Neodiprion lecontei: one gene and its partners. The protein of the gene in region 1 interacts with the protein of each later gene in a pairwise test. Links are inferred from orthologs where the notes say so. Each region holds a gene or a part of one and is shown in the gene's direction. Other genes may lie near its edges. The genes, in order: serine/threonine-protein phosphatase PP1-beta catalytic subunit, protein kintoun, protein phosphatase 1 regulatory subunit 16A and PDZ and LIM domain protein Zasp.

What was found.
Region 2: the proteins of serine/threonine-protein phosphatase PP1-beta catalytic subunit (region 1) and protein kintoun interact in binary tests that used the Drosophila melanogaster proteins (3 or more experiments, as listed by UniProt). The link is inferred for Neodiprion lecontei from reciprocal best matches to the Drosophila melanogaster genes flw and Nop17l.
Region 3: the proteins of serine/threonine-protein phosphatase PP1-beta catalytic subunit (region 1) and protein phosphatase 1 regulatory subunit 16A interact in a two-hybrid assay, tested with the Drosophila melanogaster proteins (2 studies listed by BioGRID). The link is inferred for Neodiprion lecontei from reciprocal best matches to the Drosophila melanogaster genes flw and MYPT-75D.
Region 4: the proteins of serine/threonine-protein phosphatase PP1-beta catalytic subunit (region 1) and PDZ and LIM domain protein Zasp interact in a two-hybrid assay, tested with the Drosophila melanogaster proteins (2 studies listed by BioGRID). The link is inferred for Neodiprion lecontei from reciprocal best matches to the Drosophila melanogaster genes flw and Zasp66.

What each region holds. Positions count from the first base shown.
Region 1 is NC_060265.1:28,570,605-28,577,886, reverse strand, and holds serine/threonine-protein phosphatase PP1-beta catalytic subunit, read left to right. Parts: upstream 1-2,000; 5' UTR 2,001-2,221; coding exon 2,222-2,273; intron 2,274-2,739; coding exon 2,740-2,811; intron 2,812-4,413; coding exon 4,414-4,901; intron 4,902-5,017; coding exon 5,018-5,116; intron 5,117-5,330; coding exon 5,331-5,570; intron 5,571-5,663; coding exon 5,664-5,768; 3' UTR 5,769-5,813; exon of another isoform or gene 5,814-5,888; 3' UTR 5,889-6,744; downstream 6,745-7,282. Other genes in the region: protein farnesyltransferase/geranylgeranyltransferase type-1 subunit alpha, read right to left, coding at 1-166, 339-539, 643-997, 1,240-1,378. UniProt on the Drosophila melanogaster protein: Required for cell adhesion in non-muscle tissues and in maintenance of muscle attachment. Vital for larval development.
Region 2 is NC_060261.1:38,946,984-38,953,917, reverse strand, and holds protein kintoun, read left to right. Parts: upstream 1-1,937; 5' UTR 1,938-2,062; coding exon 2,063-3,760; intron 3,761-4,559; coding exon 4,560-4,963; intron 4,964-5,135; coding exon 5,136-5,520; 3' UTR 5,521-6,407; downstream 6,408-6,934. UniProt on the Drosophila melanogaster protein: Required for cytoplasmic pre-assembly of axonemal dyneins, thereby playing a central role in motility in cilia and flagella.
Region 3 is NC_060261.1:27,895,514-27,900,555, forward strand, and holds the start of protein phosphatase 1 regulatory subunit 16A, read left to right. Parts: upstream 1-2,006; 5' UTR 2,007-2,152; coding exon 2,153-2,225; intron 2,226-3,145; coding exon 3,146-3,409; exon of another isoform or gene 3,410-3,454; intron 3,455-3,541; coding exon 3,542-3,844; intron 3,845-3,937; coding exon 3,938-4,080; intron 4,081-4,413; coding exon 4,414-4,539; exon of another isoform or gene 4,540-4,547; intron 4,548-4,763; exon of another isoform or gene 4,764-4,777; coding exon 4,778-4,853; intron 4,854-5,042.
Region 4 is NC_060263.1:21,718,508-21,723,129, reverse strand, and holds the start of PDZ and LIM domain protein Zasp, read left to right. Parts: upstream 1-1,603; 5' UTR 1,604-1,771; coding exon 1,772-1,891; intron 1,892-3,220; exon of another isoform or gene 3,221-3,235; coding exon of another isoform or gene 3,236-3,304; intron 3,305-3,485; coding exon 3,486-3,616; intron 3,617-4,622.

The sequences.
Region 1 (7,282 bases):
GAATGGTGATTCTGGTTCTATGTCAGCGCCGTGTCTCTCCTGGCAAATGTCTATCATGCAGGCTAGCAGATGTATGCTCCGCGAGCCTCCTGCATACAATGCTTCGCAACTCTCGAGGACTTTTTTATTTCGCCCGAGTCCGCCTTCACCATCGTGCTGCAAGATGCTAATGAGAAAAAAGGCGAGAAAATAAGCAATGTCAAAATTTTACTTGGCGCTTGGTAGTTCGCAATCAATACTTGCATGAACTGTCACATTACAAGTGAATTTTTTTCTTTCCTCATTACCAGAAATATGTAAATCAATGTGACTATATTTTTTTGGCTACAGATACGAACCCTCTAAGATAATTCCATGCACTTTCATTCCCCTTGACTAGCTCGATTTTCTTCAAAGTATAATCAACTTCTCGTTCAATAACATGCGGCTCAAACTTTGTTGTATTATTCAAGACAAAGTAGCGTTGATTCCAAGCAGAATTATTTCTCACGTCGGCGTCCAGCAGTTGCTCAACATATTCCAACTCTCCGTCAAACAAACTGGCAATTGAATATGCACGTTTATTACTCTAGTAAGCAATTTTTTGTGCTTGAACAGAATACTACTTACGCTAAGAAAAATAAATTCGTAAAAAATACTTGCTTGAAAGTTTTTATAATCCATTGGCGATGCTGCCACGCATGATAATTCTTCGCATCCTTTTTCAGTACATTTTCAGTCAGAGCTAAGTCCAAGCTTGGATCTTGGAGCCATTCCACGATTACCCTCCGGTGATGCCATACTTGGTAGTTTTTTGGAGTTCTTCTAATCATTGTTTCTATATACTTGAGTTCGTTCCAGAGGTTCTTGTCCAGTGCTTTCAATATCTCTCTCCTGTACTGCCATACCGTATAATTTGCTGAATTCAGCGTTATGCAGTCCCCCGTTAAGTTCAGAGCTCGCTCAGACTTTTCGCCAGACTTCAGAATGGCTCTGAAGTAATCGTATGCATCTTTGACTGTGAAAACGGTTTGAAACTTGATAGTTTTTATCAATTCAAATCGAAATTTGCATGATTCACATCGTCGATTTTGCGTTGATCTCAACTGTTTATAAGCTAAATTATAATAGGTTACATCCACATTGTGGACCCACCTGATCGGTTATATTCTGAAAGTTTCGTGATTCGAATCTGACGCATAAACTACCAAGAAATAATTGACGAAACAATTGAACGAATTGAATATTTAAATATCTTACATGTTTCGGAATAGGCAATCGCGACAATTGGGTGAGGTCCATCATCCTGTGGAACAGGCGTAACGTCCTTCCATTCATTTCTGTCCCTGTAGAAAACCCAGGTGCTCGATATTTCTTCTTCTTCAGAAGAGTCAGACATATTTTCACCCGGCAAACGTGGTCATAAGAATTTTAACTAAACCCGCTCGACTTTAGCTATCGTCCTCTTTTCTTAATCCCACCCGATTTCTACCCGTATTCCACGTTCGGGTCCTACTGTATAATCTCACCGCATATCTCACAACCGCAAAGCCGCGGTCGCGAATTTCAGTGCTACCAACTTAGGTTTAATAAACAAAATCAAAGTCATGCGCATCGACATATAGGTATATGTCCGTGGTCATGCGTTCCCAGCCATCGAGGCATAATAAACAAAATTGAAGCGGTGCGATCCGAAATTACGCGTGACTTACAGAACACTATCGTATCGGTCTATTGACCATGAAATAATCATACAGAAGAATTATAGAGACGAATTATAAGGCAAAATTAGAGAATGTTAGGTAGAATCTGACAAACGGAACTGCGTGATGTGATATATTTAAATATACCGTAGTGGAGTACTGGATAGCATACGCGCCATTGAAAATGTGTATACATGTGTAGATGGCGCTTATAATAGTTTTCACCATGGTTTTACATACAGACCGTGGTTTTCACGAGTGAAAAATGTCAGAATCAGGACCCAGTATCGGCAGTCAGTAACCTCGGTTTCGGAACACACGTTGCGTCGGGATTAGGCCGAGTGAAGACTTCGGAACGCGCGTATATCGCAAGGTCAAGAAAAAGAAGTTAGCGGCATCTGGTGAGTGCTTGTGAATGTAGTGTGTGGTCGAGGGTCAAGCCTCCAGGGCGAAGCGCCTAGTGGAAACAAGGAACTATAGATCTACTTGTTCCGACAAACGACTTCCTAGGAGTTGGGACCTAGAGTAGTGCAGAAAAAATGGCGGATGCGGACTTGGATATCGACAATCTGATACAGAGATTGCTTGAAGGTACGTCTAAAATATAATATAACGATACGGATGTCATGGCCAAAGTAATACCGTCTATCGCATCTCTTTACTAACATACGCCGAGCCTTTATTTCCCATGATATTTCACGTTATAATCGTAAACCAATTATATGCTGTCTAGTGTGTTTTCTATACTAGCAATGAAAAATATCACTTCTTTCCTATACTCTCTTATCTCTTCTCTTTCTTCCCACATTACCGCTACTATTTCTCAGTCTATTCGTACATTATTATGAAAGAAACGTCGTTGGCTCACTCCACACTTGTCAGCTGTTTCCTATAACAGAGAAAAATTGGAAATAAACGACTAATTGTTGTCTTAACGGACACCGTTTGTCGGTATGGACACATCGTATATTGATTTTTTATTTGTTTTCGTAAAATTTTCTGTTTTTTTTCTCTGTCATGCTAACCGTATTTGTGGGGATGATCTTTTGCGGTAAAGTATATCAAACGCAGAAAGAACAGGTTCAGAAAAAGGCTAAACTTAAAGACATTTTTACCTCAGACTTTGTCGGTATGCCAATTTATTAATATATTAAAAAAAATTTTTTCTCATTGTTAATTTTTTCTTTTTTATTTCACCGTTACCATTTACCAAATGCATCCACATTAATTGTTATCGATATATCTATCAGTTTGCGTTCTCACACTATTGAATGCAACATCAGCACCAATCCTCCCTTTTCTTCATGTATCAATCTCGTATTTCGATACACACGGTCGAGCTCACACAAACCTTACACAGTGAAACGCTCGTCTTGAGAACAAAGTTCCATACCACTTCCAGCAATATTGTTTACCTTGCAAGATTTGCTAAATATAGATTTTATACTCCAAACACCACGTGGCTTTGCTCGGATTAGACTTGGGCTTCAAATTAAATTCGTCATCACCAAGGGGAACTAAATCTAGAACTATGTTTGTACGTTCTTGTCTTGCGACATTCATTTTAGTCAACTTCAGCAGTATATTTCTTTCAATATCTTGCCGTCGCTCTGTTAATTATCATTTTTATCTTTGTTGCTAGGCGCATGTCTTGTCTATATACATAAATTGCTAGTTACGTTTTCTTTCTATTGATAATTACCATCAGATGTAGTCCTTCTAACATTTAAAAAAGAAGAAAAAAAAAAACAATAGGTAAGAACTCGAGCTCTGCATAACAGAGAACTTGCTAAGTGCGGTAAATTTTCATTGCAACATGACAGGAAAACAAAAAGATTAGACTTTTATCCACTGTTCGCATTATTCTATCCAATAAGTACAGGATGTAGTGTCATTGGTGATACGACGACCTATCTATACATTTTATTTCGTAATAGTTACAGTCATCGTCATGCAAAAGTGATCCAACTACACTGCATAGGCCTTCAAAGTCGTCTATAAATAACAAATTAACACTACCAAGCTGGAGAACATCTGCTTTATTTTGATTACGTCACTGTAAATACAGTCCATCTAAACTTTGCTTCGTTAAATTTTGTTTCTTCATTTTGTTTTGAAGATATTCTTTAACGACGGCGATCAACTAGTTGCTTATTCTTCGAAAAGTAACTAACTGTAACACAATATCCGACAGTCATTTCTAGCTTGTATAATAAAGCACAGAGAATTTTCTTTTCTTTTTATTACGTAGGTAACAGAATATTTGGTCACTTAACTTGTGGGTAGTATTCCAGCACTCCCCCCTGATCTTGAAATACTTTTAGCAACATCTCTTGGCAGAATGTCACCACACTTTTGCATAATTACTTTTTGATTTCCTTTCTCTATCGTCGTTCCAGTATAAACGCAACGGTACTGTATAGTTGTAAATTACCAAACTGTATAGATAGATAGTAACGTAGTTATACATCGTAGAAAATAAAGATCCCAAAAAAAGATTTGATTAAATTAACCCTTTTAGCGTAGCATTTTGTAAAAAGTTAGTTTTCGGCACAACAAACTATTAAAGCCGTACAATTTATATCATAGTAGAGAGCATCAACGTTCTATGAAATCATAATTCATTCATTGTTAAACTTGCAAAGCTGATGTTGAAAAAATAAATCTGCCTCGATGTTATGACTCTACTAGCGAATACCGCTGACTATAAACTCGAAAATTTTGGACACAGTGCGAGGATGTCGACCTGGGAAATCGGTGGTAATGACAGAGGCCGAAGTGAGAGGCCTCTGTCTGAAATCGCGGGAGATATTCCTTCAGCAGCCGATACTACTGGAGCTCGAAGCACCGCTTAAAATATGCGGCGATATTCACGGCCAGTACACAGACCTGCTGCGGCTATTTGAGTACGGCGGATTTCCTCCAGAGGCAAACTATCTCTTTCTAGGTGACTACGTCGACAGAGGCAAACAGTCTCTGGAAACGATATGCCTGTTACTCGCCTACAAGATCAAATACCCAGAAAACTTCTTCTTGCTAAGAGGAAACCACGAATGCGCCAGCATAAACAGGATATACGGATTTTACGACGAATGTAAACGCAGATATAATATAAAACTGTGGAAAACCTTTACCGATTGCTTCAACTGCTTACCCATCGCCGCTATTATCGATGAAAAGATATTCTGCTGCCACGGCGGACTCAGTCCTGATCTCCAGGTGATTATTTAATTCGTATTTTTGAGAAAAGTTTGAACACTTTTCAGGAAAAGTTAGATGCAAAAACAAAAATTACATCAAATGATTAAACGTAACGAGTAACATTGGTTTTACAGGGAATGGAGCAAATCAGAAGAATCATGCGTCCAACCGATGTTCCAGATACAGGACTTTTATGCGATCTCCTTTGGTCTGACCCCGACAAAGATGTTCAGGTGTGTATAAAATGTATTAGAATACGCCGGGTGTAGCAGGATACAGCGTGTTACCTGTCTCTATTTATATCGTTGTGTAATAACTTATCAGATGGTTCGAAGCAACGGTGTACAGCACACGACTGTCTAAACACGCCTACAATGTTGATTCTGAGCTGCGTCCAGCAAGATTTTACAATGCGATGTAATGTGAGGCTGTTTTTCTCTCCCGCAGGGATGGGGCGAGAACGACAGAGGCGTATCTTTCACATTCGGACCTGACGTAGTTTCCAAATTCCTAAGTCGACACGATATGGATCTCATATGCAGAGCTCACCAGGTCGTCGAAGATGGTTACGAATTTTTTGCTAAAAGGCAGCTCGTCACACTTTTCTCAGCTCCGAATTACTGCGGGGAATTCGACAACGCCGGCGGAATGATGAGCGTCGACGAAACTCTGATGTGCAGTTTTCAGGTAATCTTCACTTTTCGTTTCTTATTCACCAGCGAAGATGACCGATTACTTTGATGCCCCTTTTCTACATTGTTCGATTTAAAATAAAAACAGATCCTGAAACCTTCTGAAAAAAAAGCAAAATACCAGTACAGTGGAATGACTGCGCAAGGTGGCAGGCCATCTACGCCGCAGAGGAATCCAACAAAAAAGAAATGACCACCTTTCGCTGATCCCGCGTAGCAGCAAACACTTTCGTTCTAGGTAAGATGATTATAGAGAGAGAGAGAAAAAAACAAACAAGTATATTAATAAATATCTAATTTTTTATCTATTCAGACTGAATGATTTACGATGCAAATACTGTGAATACTTACGTCACATGATAAAATCGATCCCTGTGAATATAGAACACTGCAACAGGCCTCCTAAACGTCTTAGACTCGATTTGCAAAAAAATTTAAAAGAAAACGAAGAAAAGTTAAACTCCACTGGGAGACCTGCCATAAGTTCTCTTTTGATCTTTAGCTATTTTTCAGCTGATAGAATTTTCATCGCCTTTCAATGAATAACGCGTTTTACTGAAAATATATAACGCCGGAAAGGAGGCAAGGGTTCAGTGACACATATTGAAGGAAGTAACCTAGTCTCTACAATTATAATTAAACAAATCAGATTATATTTATTAAATTATTGTTAATAATTGAATCAGTGGCAGTTATAGACGATAATCACGACTCATGAATCACTGCGGTGAACGATTTGAAGAAAAGTATATAAATAGATGGGAGGAGCTTTAACTTACATTGAACGACGACGTCGGACGTTTTCAGTTAACTTTTCCGTGCATTGATCTCGCTTTGCTTTAGTTTATAAAATAACATTACCTCTTTTAAATCCAAAATTAATCAGCCATACTGAGTCCTGAAGATTCCAGAGACATTTAACCTGCTTAAATCCTAAATCATACCAACAATGTGAGTAAAAGTTGACCGAAATCCGTAGAATATTGGACTTGATTTTATTTTTCTATATGTTTCAGCTGTGGAACGTGTCACTACAGTATGTACACTAACTAAAAACTCATAATTCAAAACGAAACGAAATAAAATGAAAAAAAAAAAATAAACAGAAAACTTGAATACTTAAAACGGGAAACGACATCTTCCTTATTACATCTCAATTACACTATTATCGCAGGATGCTTCTTTGTATAAAATATCGATCAATATATACATTTTTTTTTTTTTTGTTCCTCTAGTTAGAAAAAGTCACTTTATCGACTGCCCAATTTGTTTATAAGGTGAACAAAATCAGCGAGTTCCGTCAACATAAGCACTAAAAAATAGCACATGTACTTCATATACTTGCTACCATTCTCAGTAACAGTTATTCATTTTCTCTTACATGATGATCGATCCTTTTCTATTTCACTCATTTTTGCGTTTAGCAGCATTTTTACTCCTAATTATTTATTATTACTATTTGTTCGTTCAATTTCGACAGGCAGGTTTATATATATATATATTTTTTTTTTTTTGCCTCGTCCTAACTTAATTATTGATAAACACTCAGCATACACAAGGAACGCCATACATACGACTATACCTTCGTGTAAATTATTGTTATTATTATCATCATTATCATCGTCATCATTGTTATTAATAATGTTATCATTATTATTATTATTGTTATTATTATTTTAATTATTATTACCGTCGGAAATCATCTTT
Region 2 (6,934 bases), on another chromosome or scaffold:
GACCTGACCCACCGCCCCCACCTTCTTCCTCCGTAAGATCGGAAATCCTTACGTGATTTATACTTACGCCAAACTGTTCTGAACGCACGATAATTCATACTCATGTATTTTTTCCTCCACTGCGGCACCGTGAAGTTCGTATGAGTTGTGAAAAATTTATGGGTCTAATGACGGGCGTTCATTTTCACTTTCATTTATTTGAGAACGAATGACCGTGGTACCTATGAATTTTTCAAAACTTATGTAACGTAATAATTGATCGAGAAAATTGTTCGTGATTATATTTCGATTTTACTTCTACTTAATAAATACCGCGTCAAAAAATCATATATTCAAATGAACGTCGAATAATTAATGTACGTTGCCACAACCGATGCTGAATTTCTTATTTAATTTTTGCAAATTTCAGCTTTGAGCAGAATAAATTCAATCGTAACATGGTGCTCTCGTGCCCGGCAGTTGCGAAAACGACTCATTGTTAGTCGCAAAGATGCCCCGAGGGCAATTTCATAATCGGATTACCATCGACATTACGTTTGGGTACAAAGGATGATAGGTTATTAATTTTAGAGAGGAAAGGTGATGTGACCTCAGCAGAAAATAAAAGAGGGAATGTTCGATTTAAGAAGTACCTTTGTATACATGCGCATGTTATTGCTTTACTACAGTGGAAACTTTCGAATTGATAATCCTTCGGGTAACGTAACGTGGTCAGAAACAACAAAAAATAATTAATACACGAATTTCTGTGCATGAACTTTACGTGACTACAGTTTCGCCCTCGATGCAGCGAATTTTACGACTGTAACTATCTTCAATTTCGATAACGAAACACCCAATTATTACGGTCAGTCATCGTATACAATTTACATACGATAAACGTCAGAAAAAAATAATTACATAACTACCGAAACCTTGTTGCAGGCATTAAGAACATGTTTGGTTTGTATAGCGTATGCATGTAGAGAACATTTATTATTTGTCATAATTTTTACACCAATTTAATTAAATTGCATTCAATTTGTTTAGATCCAGATCAAACTTCAGTATCAAGATCGTATTTACAGAACAATTCAACGTGGCTGAAATTTACCGCACAAATAAATGATTAGCATTTGCTTCTTTTCTTAACTTAAATGTAACATAGTTCAGTAATTTTGTAAGTGGCTTTGGCTATTTATTTTATGTACACTAAGAAAAATTTCATGTGTCATAGTAACTAGAAAAATAGAGTAAAACAGATATCGTTGAAAAAAAACAGTCGCTACTGTCGATACTTTTTTGGTAATTGCAATGCAAAATCAGTTTGTTCGGTTTACTCTACTTTTTTAGTTCAATAAGGCTTTAACATCAACTTATCGCAGCACAAGCATTAAATTTTCGGAACAGTTACGAGAAAATATAGTAACAGTGATCGTAATGGGAAAGAATAGTAACGGATACTAGACTTTCTGTTAACAGTTACAAAATTAATTTTCATTTTGTACCTAGAATATTTATACTATATTTTTCGATTGTGGTAAAAAGTGAAAATAATTAAGGACTGAGCTGCAACCGGAACTATAAATTTCTCTCACTGTAATCTTCGTTTCCTTTTATAGACAGCTATTGTAGAATCGGTATTCCAGATAACCCTGTTCGTTCTCGACTGTATATTATTATACCGTATAACGCATTCGTCAGCTACAGGAGCGACGATAAGCTGCCGACGTTGCTCTTTGTGGAAAATCGCTGACAGCGAAAAGTGGTGCAAGTTGACGGACGCAATTCCGCAAATAAAATAATCGCGATGTATGAGAGAATTTGTCCGCGCATCGAGCCGTAAATGTCGGCGGCGCGTTCGCGTCCCGCTCGCGTTTAAAAATCATCGGCTAGTTCGTATAAATTCCACCAGCCGGCCGGCAGAGCTGCGCACATCTGTATGGTCCACGTGGTTATTTGCGCAAGGATTGGATGGAAACTTCTGGGTTGTATTCTCTATTATATATATAGATATATGCTTATGCACCAGTGGCTAAATTAATTAAAGGCACCGAACCCAAACACTAGTATCTACTGGAAGATGGCCGTGTACAACTCGCGATTAAAAAAGAACTGGGAGGATTTGGACGTGACGAAGGAAGAGCTAGAGACGATAACCGACTGTCTTAAGAAGGAGGAATTCCGGAAACTCCTGTTCGATTACGCAGAGGAGGTGACGAACCCCGAGAACAAGAAACTGTACCAGTCGGAGATCGCGCAGCTGGAGAGAGAGAGAGGCGTAGACGTGACGTTCGTTAACCCTGAGCCGGGTTACGTAATAAAAACAAGCGTCGACGGGAGCAGGAAGTGCTTTGTAAACATAAGCCAAAGCTCGAGTGTCGGCAAGCCTTCGAGCCGGCCGAGCTGCGAGGGTGGTAGCCGGGGTTTGCAGTGGTCCATTCCCCACACCTTGGCTCCCCCCCGCGATGACCTCGACAAGAAGAGCGCCCGGTGCGTCGTCTTCGACGTGGTGTTCCACCCGGACACCCTGCACTTGGCCAGCAAGAATTCCAAGTTCCGGGAGACCGTTAATCAGACGGCGTTGGACGGTGTCGAGAGCAGTTTTAAAGTTAAGCTAGACCGGAACAACCTCAAGTTCCCCAAGATGAGCTTCAAGGGTGTCAGCCAGCCGACGGTGATCAGAAAGAAGTCGGAGCGGCCGCCGGTGCCCTCGGACGTTGACCTTGAGCCGGAGATCTACCAGAAGCTGATGACCAGCTACGACGAGAGCCGTGAGGAGCAGCTTCGAGCCATGGACAAACCGGCCGAGCGGCGGTCGCCTTCGACTAAATATTTCAACGAGAGCAGGAGCACGGAGAGCGAGTGCCCCGCGTACACCACGCCAAAGTTCGTCGTCAAGCATCAGGACAGCGTCGATATACAAGACTTTCATAATCACAAAAATGCCAGACTCCATAAAACTATTCCCAAGAAACTTGTCGTTGAAATCGACCTCCCCCTTCTTAAAAGCGCCGGCGACGCCACCCTTGATGTTCAAGAACGGCTGGTAATGCTGAAGAGCGAGAAACCCGCTAAATACCAGCTTCAACTCCCCCTGCCGTACAGTGTCGATCCAGACAACGGCGGCGCAAAATTTGACCCTAAAAACAAGAAGCTCACTGTCACTCTGCCTGTTCTCAGGGGCGTCGTTCCGCTCTGTGACAACAGGGAGGACAGTGGAGTCGACAGTGATCATGGCAGCCCTTTGGCAGACTCTGGCGATGATGAAGGAGCCGAGAAAAAGGCACTGGTTACCGTTATCGACAGGGAAAGTGCGTTTGGTGAATGTGAGGAAGATACCGCGCTAAGAACTAGTAACAAAAGCGTACCTGACGAGCCGGCGTTCATGAAACCTGATGTCAAATATTCCCTTCCTGCCTTTAGCTGTAATTGTTATGATAAAACTCTTGCTTTTACTATCCACCTCAAAAATGTTGATCCTGATTCGATACGGCATAAAATGCTGAAAGAGAATTCGGGCGTTCATGTGCTTCTCACCTCGGTCGGAGCTGGATTTTTTCCCGTTTATTATTCTATGTGCTTTAAGACTGGGCGAGAATCTATTCGTCCCGAATCACTGGTCATAGAGCCTTGGGATAACAATGTTGTCATTACCGTTGCCTTGGAAGATTGCAGGGAAGACGTGAGCAAGTACTTCGTTGGAATTGACGAAGAGTTTATGGAACTCAGGGAACTATTCGCCCCTGTTTCCCTCCAAAATAAACTCAATGAACTTATGGTAACATTTATTTATTATGCTCATCATACTTTTCTCTTCCTATCGAAAACCGGTTTGATCCTCTGCGGTCAAAGCGGTCTGTGTAAATTAGGTGAGCCACGTGCTACTTTACATCAAATTTATCACTGTCCGTAACGTATTTAATTCAACGCTTGGCATACTTTATTAAAACGCTTTATTCGCACACATTTTGAAATAATGGTCTAGGTATTACTTGACACTTTTTCAATCATTACAAGTTGTTTATTATTCAGAATTTTCTATTTTGTAACACGTGTATTACAGTCTGATTCAACATACTTGCAAAAAACGAGGATAGCATTGTTTGTTTTGATTTTGGCGTGACCCAGTCTTTTCGCGTAATAGATTATTTATTATCTCGCTCAATTTTACACAGCACGTATGTGTATTTAACAGCACATGGAGGTAATCCAATGTTGCATTAGTCTAGCACTGATAATACTTATCTTATCGATTGAAATACCTTTTGACGTGTATATACAAAGTCCTATTCACCCTCACCAGTACGTCATGTTCAATTCTCTGTAAAATAAGAATTTCTTTCTTGATTTTTTCATTTTATAATTGTGCATTATCAATCTACCTGAGCTAACAATCTTGCACAAGCCATTGCGAAATTATTACTGAAATTGTACAAGAAGATATGCTTTGATTATTATCAAACTTGAATGCAGTAATAGTTTCTTACATATACCAGTAAGGATTAAGCTTGACTTCCCTGATAATAGCCTGAAACTGAACAATTGTGAATTGAAATTGACATTCTTTTCCTCTTCAGATTCAGCCTTGTCTGCAAACAAATAAGAAGATTGAAGTTATGGGAGAAGGCGATGACATTGTGATTAATATAACGCCAAATCAGTTGGACTCAGACGATGAGGCAGAGCGCGAAGATACAGACTCTTCACGATACGACGATCATAGATCGATATCAGAAAGTAGCGGTGATGAATTAGGAAATATTCCTGGTCCCGCGGGCAGGTCCAAGGGTATACTAAAGTCCCGTCGTAATTATGGCTTTACACGTTCGGTTTCCGAATCGAGCGTAGACGATAGCGCTATGCTTGCTTCTTCTATAGACTTCCATTCCGACTCAATTCCAGAAATAAATTCTGAGTCTGGAAGTTCGAGTTTGAAGAAGACAGTTCGTTTTAATGATGTTGTCGCTCGCCAGTTATACAGGTAATCTTTTGCCAGTCTTTTAACGTATTCTTGTCCCTTTTTTTTTCTCTTCCCTTTCCTTGGACTTGTATTCTTGGCTTTGTTCCATCAAACTTTTTTTATAGCACTGAAGCATCACAATATCTTTGAATAAATAAATCTTGGTGAATCAGGAACCTACAAATTTTTACAGATCCAACTCAAGTATCCTAGGACAGCGTAAGAAGAACCAGCGCAAATTACGCAATAAGAAACGTGCGCACGATCGTAGAACTAGTGAAAGTGAAAACTCCGAGAGCGAGGAGCGTGCGGAAAAGTACAAAATTAGCCCTAAAAATACCCCGGTGGAAAATAGCGTCCATGAAAATGTGAAGCCAATATTAAATTACGATAAATCGATGGTACACAAAAAATCTGAGCACATCGATATAGAAAATCAAAAAAATCACAACTCTCATTCCAGTAAACGAAACGATGAGAGTACAGAGAAAAATCATTGGAATGATGATAATGAAAATGGTACAAACGCTGTTACAGAAGTCTTTAAGAACGATTTAATTTTTGATCTTGATATTTAATTTTTTCCGATTAATGCAATTCCATTTGATGGCTGGTTCTGAATAATTTATAATATTTGTATACCTTAGTTCAAAGAGATCAATCGAAAGTAGATACCTGATCCATGAGATAATAGGGAAGAATACGGTTTTCGATTTCAATGGCGATAAGTAAGAGCAAGAGATAAGTTGAACAGTGGGGAGGAAAAAGTAACACAAATTTTCTCACACGTTCGAGTACAAGATTTCTGAGAGATGAATTATTACTATTATTTTCACGTACGTCTTGTATAGCTCACTAACGACTGCTAGGCTAGGTTTGAGATATATTGATAAAGTTTTAAATGCAACATGCATACACACGTACTAAATATTATGCAATCAATCGTACTATTTTATAGAGTGAAAATTTCTAATCGTTTATTGATTTTTACACGAATTTATACACTTTCATACTAAACGGGAGCTAATGTTCACTCACCATTGATTTGTATAAAAATATTATACTTAATTAAATTGTAGACAATATACAAAGTATAAAGTGAGATCATTAGAGATTCGGCAATATCGGTTAATTGTAAGTAAAATCAGAAACGGTACAGGCAAAATTTGATGAACTTTGCTCAATAGACAAATACAGTCTTTTTGGCTACATATCGAATTTTAAACTTTACAACCGTATTCAACCTTATAATAGTACTGCGGGATAGACAATAGTATTTTACACGCTAAATTAATTATTTCTACATGCACGGGATCAATGAAAAATTCATTGGTCAATATATATTATACCTGGTATTATAAATACGAAAGAAAATTATATATTATGATTTAAAAGGATATTTTGTTCCCAGTGTAATAATCCATGAGAAGAAAATGGGTAATAAACAGTTATGTTATGCAAATAAGGGTTACCTGAAACTTGTATCATTCAAATGCTCAGCACAAGAGCGTACAGGGTAACAATATTCTGCAATTAAGAATAGAATTGAACAAAGACAATGACAAAATTTAATGTGCGATTGATTAGACTAATTTCGAATGTTGAACGATGCAACTGACAACCGTTCCACAGTTATAATCGTTCGGTTCGCAGTTGTCTGAGTTGAGTGGTTTCCGAGATTCAAATTAACGCCTGACGCGGCGTGTAAAGGCAACCCGACAAACATGTTTCCTGCACCATTAGCTGCACGCATAAATGTCGCGTAGCTGGATCGTAAGGATTAGTAACAACAAATGTCGTCGACACGGCGAGATTGCGAAAAGTCACCAGGCTATGCATAATTCGCAAGAGACTATTATGAAAGCTACACATCCAAATAGCAGTATCTGCAAATCTACATACATGGTATAGCGGGATGTACAGACATGTTAACGATAACTTATATGATTTTCGAATCTGTGATCAAACATTGTGAAAAGAAGGTCTGAGATT
Region 3 (5,042 bases), on another chromosome or scaffold:
TGTGAGAATGATAAAACATTGAGATTTCTTCAAAGCCATCAAAAGATCAGCTAGTTTAGATGAAATTTTTGATTTAAAAATTTTTTTTTCTGTGTTATTGTATCAATGAAATTTAAATTGATGAACTTTAATTGCATTTCCAAACCTTCGTTATATGATATTTCCGTCTTCACAGCTCTTTCACTGTCGTGTATGTCTGGTACATCCTTAAAGAGAAGCGTTGGAAATTTCTAAGTTGTCTGGTCGTGTCTTGTCCAAGAAATTGGCAGAAACAGTAATCGCAAAAATGAAAGTTGATAATCCTCAGAACGGCGAAAAAGTATCGATAGAGGGTGTCTAGTGTGTCATGAATTGAAACAATTTTAGTCAACTTTGGATTCTTTTACCATCTTAGAAATAGTTCATTCGTACAGAATGGAGAAAATTATCTCATTTATGAAACACAACTAACTCTAGAGAGGGGGAGAGAGTGTGAGAATCGGATAGTTAACCTAAGACGGGATAGCCGTAAGCCTCGATATTCTGAAAAATCTATAATTGTCGAGACAATTGAAACAGTACACGTCGTTTTCTACAAATGAAATATACATTAAATTACATGGGTTGAAATTTTTCTTTGATCTGTGCTGAATTTTAGTCCTTTTATGTCGTCACAGATAATTTTAGATTCTTACCGATAACAGGACTGGTGACTAGTCACTTTTTTCAGTCTGTCATTTCGTCATATTCAGCATAAAATGATCGGTCAGTGCGCTTTTGTTGTTGAATTAGTAGCGAATTCTAATTGTAAATTTGAATATACGTTACATCTATCCCTGCACATTTAAATTTCAATTCTCTAGCGAGAGTAATGAAACTTATCGCTTACATGAAATTTTACGCGCAGCTTCTAAGAACCGTAACAAACAAACGTTTTTATAAAATTATCTTATTTTTGTTTCATGATTCACCGCTTACGTGAATATTTGAGGAACAAATAATTTCCTTGAAACATTACTACTCGAAAAAAAACAACTATTGTCCACCCGTGTCAAGTAATATTCTATGTTAGTAAATTTGGCAATATGAAACGTATTATCGCCTAATATAGATATTCTACATGATACATGAACTAGGAATTAATTATCAAGAATAGTAAATAGACGTAGCAAATGCAAGTAACGACCTAAAGTTTTCTCATTGAATTGAATTCTTAGTAAGTTTTTTGATTGACACTTGCTAACAGAAAAAACTTGATTTTTCAAATTATGTAATTTTCTGTTCCTTTGAAAATATATTTGTTTCATAATGTTGTGCATCTTCAATAGAAGTAATACATAGTAAGTTACATTTGAGGAGAAATCAGCAACATTTTTTCCGCAACTCTGAAATCATATGATTCTATACTTTTTGAAAAAATATTACTAGTATTTTGTCGTTACTCATAAATTAATTCTTCCGAAATTAGTTCGTCGGAATTATAATACTGATTCATATACTTGATACTAAACAAAATTGCAAATCAATGATGTAACATTTAGCCATAATTTTACCATTTTATACTCACCAATAGCTAATTAGGTTTCAATCACTTTTCACAGAAAAAACTTTTCTAGAGTAAAAATTAAGTGACGGTCATTTGCTTTATGATCTTTTGATTTACATTATCTAAAAAAAAGTACGTCACCATCAAGGTGATATTTATTCGATAGTCTTTACCGTTTTCAACCGAGACATGTTTTAAGGGATAACGAAGATTGAATTAATTAATACACTTGGTTTGGAAAGTCTATGCGTATTGCTTAGTTATGCAAAAAAATCTGCATATTTTCATTTCTGTGGTATCTCGAATCTTTGCTACGCTGCTGCTGTGTCTTGCTTGTTTTTCACAAAACATTATCTCGGTCTTGTAAACCTTACGCAGACAAAGGCAGCTTAGTAAATAAGTATAAATATGTAACTCGGTGAGACTGGATGTTGACGTCGTAGATGCGTGATGAGAGTCAGGCGCGATGTGTATGATAGAAGAAGGCAGGTCTACATCAGCCACGCACCTACTAACAACGAAGAGAATCGTTATAATTTTTTCAAGTCATTATTGAACTGTGCAAAGTAAGGAATAGTGAATGTGACGAGAAACCGACGCTGGTTTTTATAAATAATCCAGAGCAAAATGATGAAGAATAGGGTTCACCAGGGAGCAAGTTGCTTAACTAAACTTGCCGGCAAAGCTCGCGGCCGCAAAGGTATTTGCAAACGTTGATTTGTAATTTCAATCACAATATAGCTTCACCGTCACCGCTTCTCATTCGCTAAAGTTTTATTAATTGTTTTCGATACTTTTACGTGAAAAATTTGTGTGGAATCAAGTCGGCTGAAATGAGACCATCTGTTTCTTTCTTTCGTAAACCTTGGGTTTACTCATAGAAATGTTGAATTATTGTCAGGTTAATAAATGTATGTAGATTGGAAAAAATTGTCCCTTTACTACATTTGAAAAACGTGATCTTCAGATTTAGAGGTGGCAGCGGTTTGAAATTTATGATAAGGATTCAGGACTGCAATAAGTGTAGCAGTCATTTTAGTTCAGTATTCCTTCGGAGGAGAATAATCAGCGGAATGAACATACGGTGCAATTTAAGGCCGTTACATAACATATTTTCGGTCGATGTACTTTTTCTCCGATGTATACGAATCTATCCGCAAGTTTTCTGTGTGGGTAATAATTTTAAAATTATTTTCAAACCTGGAAAATTACCTTGAAAGTATGTCGATAGGAAACAAAAATGAGCAAAACCGATAACTGTTCACTAAAACACTTTTATTTTAGTCTAATTATCCCTTAGAAAAACCTAAAGTTTCTCCATTTTAACAAGAAAGGTTTCCGATGAAAATTCAGCCAAAGTAAAAGCCCATATCTGATACCTTTTTTTTGTCTACTTTTACAACCTGTGCCTCATTCCATGTCATGTAAGCTGTCGCCTGTTGAAATATAGTGCTGATCTCATTGCGATTATATATGTTGTCAAGGTTTTAAGAGATTTGAATAAAGTGAACTAAAGATGACATTCGCTTCTGTTTCGATGTACTAATGAAAATGTTGTGTTTGAAATGTACGATTTTGATGGTAGTTTGCTGTCTTTATTGATCATTTTAATATTTCCAGGTAAATATAGCTGCAAGAGTTCCAAACAAACCATCATGGAGCACTCGGACTTGGTAGCAGAGATGATGCACATTGAGAGATTGACGACTCAGGAACGACTCCATTTGGCACGTCATCGGAGGCTGCAGCAGCTGAAGCAATGGCGTCATCGAGAAAAAGAATGGCTCCGTCACCAGAATAAACACCCAAGCAATAAACGTCACATATTTTTTAGCGACAGCGTTATGCTTCTAGAAGCTGCGGCTAGAAACGATCTCGACGAAGGTAGTGTAGCGAGGCAAAATCCTTCCTCGCCTTTGATTTGTTTCTCTTGATGTATTATGAAAATGAAAAGGACAGAATTATCAATGGGACAGTGTATATTTATATCTATTGAATATATCTTGCGCCCATTAGTGAGAAGGCTTTTGAAGAAAGAGGTGAATCCTGATTCTACCAACGAGGATGGATTGACCGCGCTGCATCAATGTTGCATTGATGACAATGAAGAAATGATGAAAATACTCGTTGAATTTGGGGCCAACGTCAATGCGGAGGACAGTGAAAAGTGGACGCCACTTCACGCTGCTGCGACTTGTGGCCATCTTCACTTAGTACGCTACCTAATTGCGAGGGGTGCTAACTTACTGGCCGTCAACGCGGATGGAAATATGCCGTACGACATATGCGAGGATGAGAAAACCCTCGACTGCATAGAAGGTACGACGCTGAAAGATTTTGGCGAGGAAATTCAAAAACGTCGTCGTAGTCGATTTTAATCTTCTTTCTTATTAATGAAAATATATTTTTCAGGTGAAATGGCAAGACGCGGTGTTACGCAAGAATTAATTGACGAAACTAGGGCTGGAACTGAGGTGCAGATGTTGCGAGACCTGCAGAAGATCGCAGCCCAAGGTGGTGACCTAGAATATACCGATCATCAAGGTGCTACACCTGTGAGTACGCAAAAAACGTGCGCTACATTCAGACATAGTGAATTTGAACTCAAAAAATCTATAGTAACGCGTTTTGTTCAATCGTATTGTCACTTTGGTACCGTGAATTAACGTGCAACAATTTTGGAAGTAAGATTAAGGGTGTTATTTACCTAGAGTGCTACTAGAAATTAGCATTGTCTTAGAAATTGCGCAAACAAGAAGGTAAATACGAAGGATCGTCTATGTGGTACAACTCAGTTGGACCTAGGCAACACCTTTAATTTAAAGTTACCGCTTTCCATAATCGTATCGTCAAGAAAACTTGCTACTTATAATTATTTTTCATTACAGCTTCACATAGCAGCAGCAAACGGGTACCTCAGAGTCGTTGAATTTCTTCTTGATCAGCACGTTTCAACCGATGTTGTGGACAATGATAAATGGCAACCTGTTCACGCAGCTGCCTGTTGGGGACACGTGAGTGACTGTTGATGAAAGTTTTTTACTTAGAAAACTGTCAGCCAGTCTCACATTTAAAGAGACAAATCGTATTCTAATAATAGTTTTACCACAGCAGTTTTCTATCCCTTTCAAGTGTAATATATTTTATATTTAAATGCAGAAATGACAATTCAATTATTTTTGGCACGATCTTTACTGACAAATGTCTCTAGTTATAAATATTATTGACAAGTTTTTACCATGTGGTTTACAGCTCGAGGTGCTTGAGTTGTTGGTACACAATGGAGCTGACCTGAACGCGAAAAATAAACACGAAGAAACTCCTGCCGGTGAATAAATTGTACACTTTTCCTTTGTCGCTTGCAAATTCTGTTCACCAAGTATACAGATATGTTCTAAACTTTGGGGTTGGAGGGGGGCCAACGAAAAAATTAAGTTGTATACAATTGTCCACGCAGAGACAGATTGTATGTTCAGCTGACAATGAGCCAACGTGAGTTATACGTAGGACGGTATTT
Region 4 (4,622 bases), on another chromosome or scaffold:
TGAATCGCCATTCGGAAACTCAACGATTCGCATATTTTTCGTTTGGGTAATCGACGTTCTACGGTGTAAAAGTATTTGTAACTGTAGAATACAACATGATATCTCTTTTATGACATGGAATATTTTTAATAAAAATGGTAAGTACAAAAATTTCTGGATCACGTATCTAAGTTTATCCGTATAAAAATATCAGTCGTACGTTGCGTCGTAAAGACCGTCAACGCCACTTCCCCCGCACAATTGAAAACTCGAATTTTTTTCCGACTTCTGAGGCATTAAACCTTGCGTAGAGATATCAACGTGGGATGTCACCATCGGTTTAAGAATCGGTCACCGAGTTATTTACCGTCAACCTTGATTTGAAATATTCTAGAAAGTACAAAGTTTTTTTTTTAATTTCAGGGTGACGAGACTTCTTGACTTTTTTTCTCAGAATTAGAAGGAATTTGTAGCATTTGAAAGGAAACAATTGTCGACTTGTCTTTTAATTTTGTCATCTTTGTTGAAAAACGTTACGGAGAATTTTGAAAAAATATAGGAATTTGTTGACGAACCGCTGAAAAAACTTTTATGGCTATATTTTGGTAATAGCATAAGTCACGTAATTCTTATTTATATAATAATAATACTTTGTTCGGGATCAGCTGGAAGTGCCCGAAGCTAAAACTCCGAAATTCACAAAAACACTTTAAATGTACATTCTATCATCGCATCGTAAAAAACAGTTCACTCATGATTGGTGCGTGCTTATCTGAAAAGAAAAACCCTTTTCCAGGACATCCCTTAGATTAACTAAGTTCGTTATTAATGCGAACATACTTGCTGAGCAAAATATATGTTATTTTTAGTTTTTGGTAGAAAAGGTGGTACACCATGAAACGTTCGACCAATTAATAAACTGTCTGGCATGCATTAAGAAAGCAAAGCTGCGTGCAATTCAACCCTTATTCTACACATTTCAATTTATCAGAGCACAGACAATAAACAACTGAATTGAATAACATGATTTTATAGCGGCTGAAATGCTTTGCGAAAAAAATCCACAACATTTTGTGATAACTCTAGTATTTTCTCTGTTAATCTCGGAAAAAAAAAGTGAATTTTTACACGATTTCAACGTCAACTTTGAATAACTTTTGAAACTGTCGAGTTATGAAAAAATTACTAGAGACCTTTTTTGTAAAGCATTGAATTCCCTACAAAAATACGTAGCTCAAATTTATCTCCGTTGCCTCGTTACTGAGCTACACAATTCAGAGATGACTAAAATTATTTTCGCGCGTTAATTAAATGGAAAATGAATGATTGCGTTCAGGAATCACCAAATATAAACTTTAAAGGGTATGACTATTAAACGTGTGTCGTTGAAAGAAATAAAATAATAGTCGATTTTTTTGGACCACCCTAGTGTTTACGTGTCTAAAATTGTTTATCTATATCAGTAAATATATGCACGTAGAAGAGAATCAAGTCCGGCGCCGGGAGTGCAGAGCCAAAACAGTACAAAGCGTATGCCAATTTCAAATGAGGGCAAAACTAGTTGAGCAACTAGGCACGCGGAGACTGGGTTAGCCCTGTCAAAGTCAACCCAAGAGATCGTCTGCAGTTCACCAGAAGCTCCTGACGTATAACAGCATTTGGGCCGTACTTGATCAACGTTGATATCTCTTCGCGAGCTTGAGATTACTTTTGTCGCAACGAAATTCTGTAGACTCCAATCAGATCCGATTCCCATTCTTCCTTGTTGCTGCATCGTTGTTGCCGAAACATCATGACCGTCAGCAAGAAACAAACTGTCGTTGTTAAACTAAAGCGAAGGGACCGCGATCAGCCTTGGGGCTTTCGTATAGCTGGTGGTGTTGATTTAGGGACACCTATCATCGTCACCCGGGTGAGTTGAAGGTTCTTTCGTGCATATCCGTGCGATTGAGTTTCAAATTTCTTTACATTTCATTTTTTTTATTTTTTTTTATTTTATTAACAAAATTGGGGTAAAAAAATCAAATCTGCTCAGTTGCGAAGAAGTTTTCATCACTACACGATCATTCGTAAGCATGGTAATCATTCACTTTCGTGAGTGATTTTACCAAAAATGCGCCCGTATGTATAAAGTATGAATATAGGTGGTATGTATTCGGGTGTTTTACAAAAAAATAATTTACGATTTTTCACCGTGGCATCAGCTGAAAAGTTTGTTCAGCTTAGGAGAAAGATTCTGTCAAAAAGTGAGCGGTCTACGTTATGTGGAAGATCGCGCTCATTTATTTTTCACTTTTTTCACATTTTTTCTGAATTTATGAATAAACACGTTGCAGCACTGCAATCATTATTTCTTTCCTGACATTTATATACGAGCCTGAAATCACGATCCACAACGCAAGAAAATATCAACCGAGAATCTTATTCTCCTGAATTAAAAGTTCATACTAAATTTTAACTATTTTATGAGATATTGAATTAATAATGTAAAATATCGTTTGCTGTACACTTCTCAAACATCAACTGGCGACTTAATATCACAAGTGTGGGTCTTCTTTGTGACGTAAATTGATATTATGATGATGGATGTAAGCAATAAGAAAAAAAAAGATTCATTCACGATACTTCATAAGTTTATAAAAATGTGTAAAAGTGAAAAATCAACTGAGCGCGATCTTCCACGTAACGTAGAACGCTCATCTTTTTACTGAATCTTTCTTTTGACCTAAATGAACTTTTTAGAGGGTGCCTTGATGGAAAATCGCAAATTATGTTTTTTTAAAACACCCTAATATGTATAGTTATGTATGATCAGATTAAATCATAGGTATAACAGGGAGAGCAATACTTTCGAAATTCAGTTGATCGAAGGTTAATATTTTTTACGTCGATTGTAATTATATTCATGTAAGTCTTATAAGCTAACGTGTGATATTACGTGGCTTCTTACGTCTGGTAATAAGAAGTAAATATGTTCTAGTTATTATATAGCATAAATGTGCTGGTAGTCGGGCACCATTTCATTTAATGCTTACTATTTGTTTTTTTTCAATCAGAATTTAGCGTACACTTCCGTAACCGTCAAATGAAATGGGCATGTGCCAAAGAAAGCTCTAGTGTATAAAATGTAGCCTTTTAATTGCGCGCATGCGCCAACGTTGTTTTATCGCACTGTTTCGTAAATGAGACACTTCAGGCACGCTCCTTAGGCTTTGAAAATTTAACTTACCAGCGAGTGTTGGAAAAATTAATTTCCATGATAAAACAACAATCACATTTACTCCGTCAATCGTTGACTTCAGTTAGCACTTGTGAGGATAATATGGTAAACATTGATAGCCACTCACAATTAGCGTAAGACGAATGAAAATTCATTAAACCCGTATGGAACCGATGCGATGTGACGATTTAACAACTCGCGACCTTATTAGCCATAATTGACGTGAGAACAATTGGTCGATCGCTTAACCCAAGACCCACAATTTGAGTTTTGTTTTGTGTTTCAGTCGGAGAATGAAGACCTCCTCAAGGGTGACGTGATAAAGAAAATCGACGACTACGACGCCAGAGATGTGCGTCACGTCGACGCGCAGCATCTCCTCCAAAAGTCTGAATCTGTTAAGCTTGTTGTCGAAAGGTTTGACCCCAGAGTAAACCACCATTACTAATCTTGCCTAAAAATTATTTGAAAATTTTTTTTTTACCACAACGAATTCCTCCGACTCCTTAATCGTATGTTACACTTTCGTAATGCAAATTTTTAACTTACCTCTACGAATTCATTTATTTTCGCACCATTAATTAAGTTTATAACGTTTGTAATACATAATCCGAAGAAATGCGATTGACGATGAGAAGTCACCGCTTAACTTAACGTATCACAGAGCTCAAAGTGATAGGAAAACGCGTTTTGGTACATCGTGTGGGTTCACGTTAAAACAGATTTCACATTCGGGAATAACAACGTTTTTTAGACGAAGTGCCCATCGCGTCAAATTTTGTTTTCAACGACTAAAAGTGCAAAAAATTTTAAGACAAAGGTGCCAATTCGAAGAAGTAAAATTGACCAATGTGTTTCTACAAAACGGTCAGGCCTAAAAAACTGACAATTGGAGAATTTTCATATCTCAGTGTACGCTATAATATATTCAAATTTCAATATCCGAATCGAAATTTTTACTCCAAAAGGGTGGCTAATGCTTCGTGATCCACCCATGCATATTAACGTTCGTAAATAATTTACGGAAAAATATTTTGAATATTTATTACACCTGCATATCTACAGATATCAGATACACCTAATTGTACAATACGCGTTATCTAATAAAAAAAAAGCTGAGAAGAAAAATTTCACAAAATAATAATACTTTTTCAAAATTACAAATTTTTCAATATTTTCTAGTGTTACCAAGAATTTTCTACCAAAGCTTTCGCTAGGTATATATAAAATACAAGACGCGCCGTGTGTTTTGATATAAAGATTGTCAGGGATGGTCGTGTCACAGTGCCAAGGTGATAAAATTTCGTGACATTTAATTGCTGAATCGGCTAAACAGACCGCAGCACGTGTCCAGCCTTGTCTTCATACAGCGATCGGTGGAACGCTATTCCGCCTTGAATAAAAGAAAAAAAATTCTGGCAAG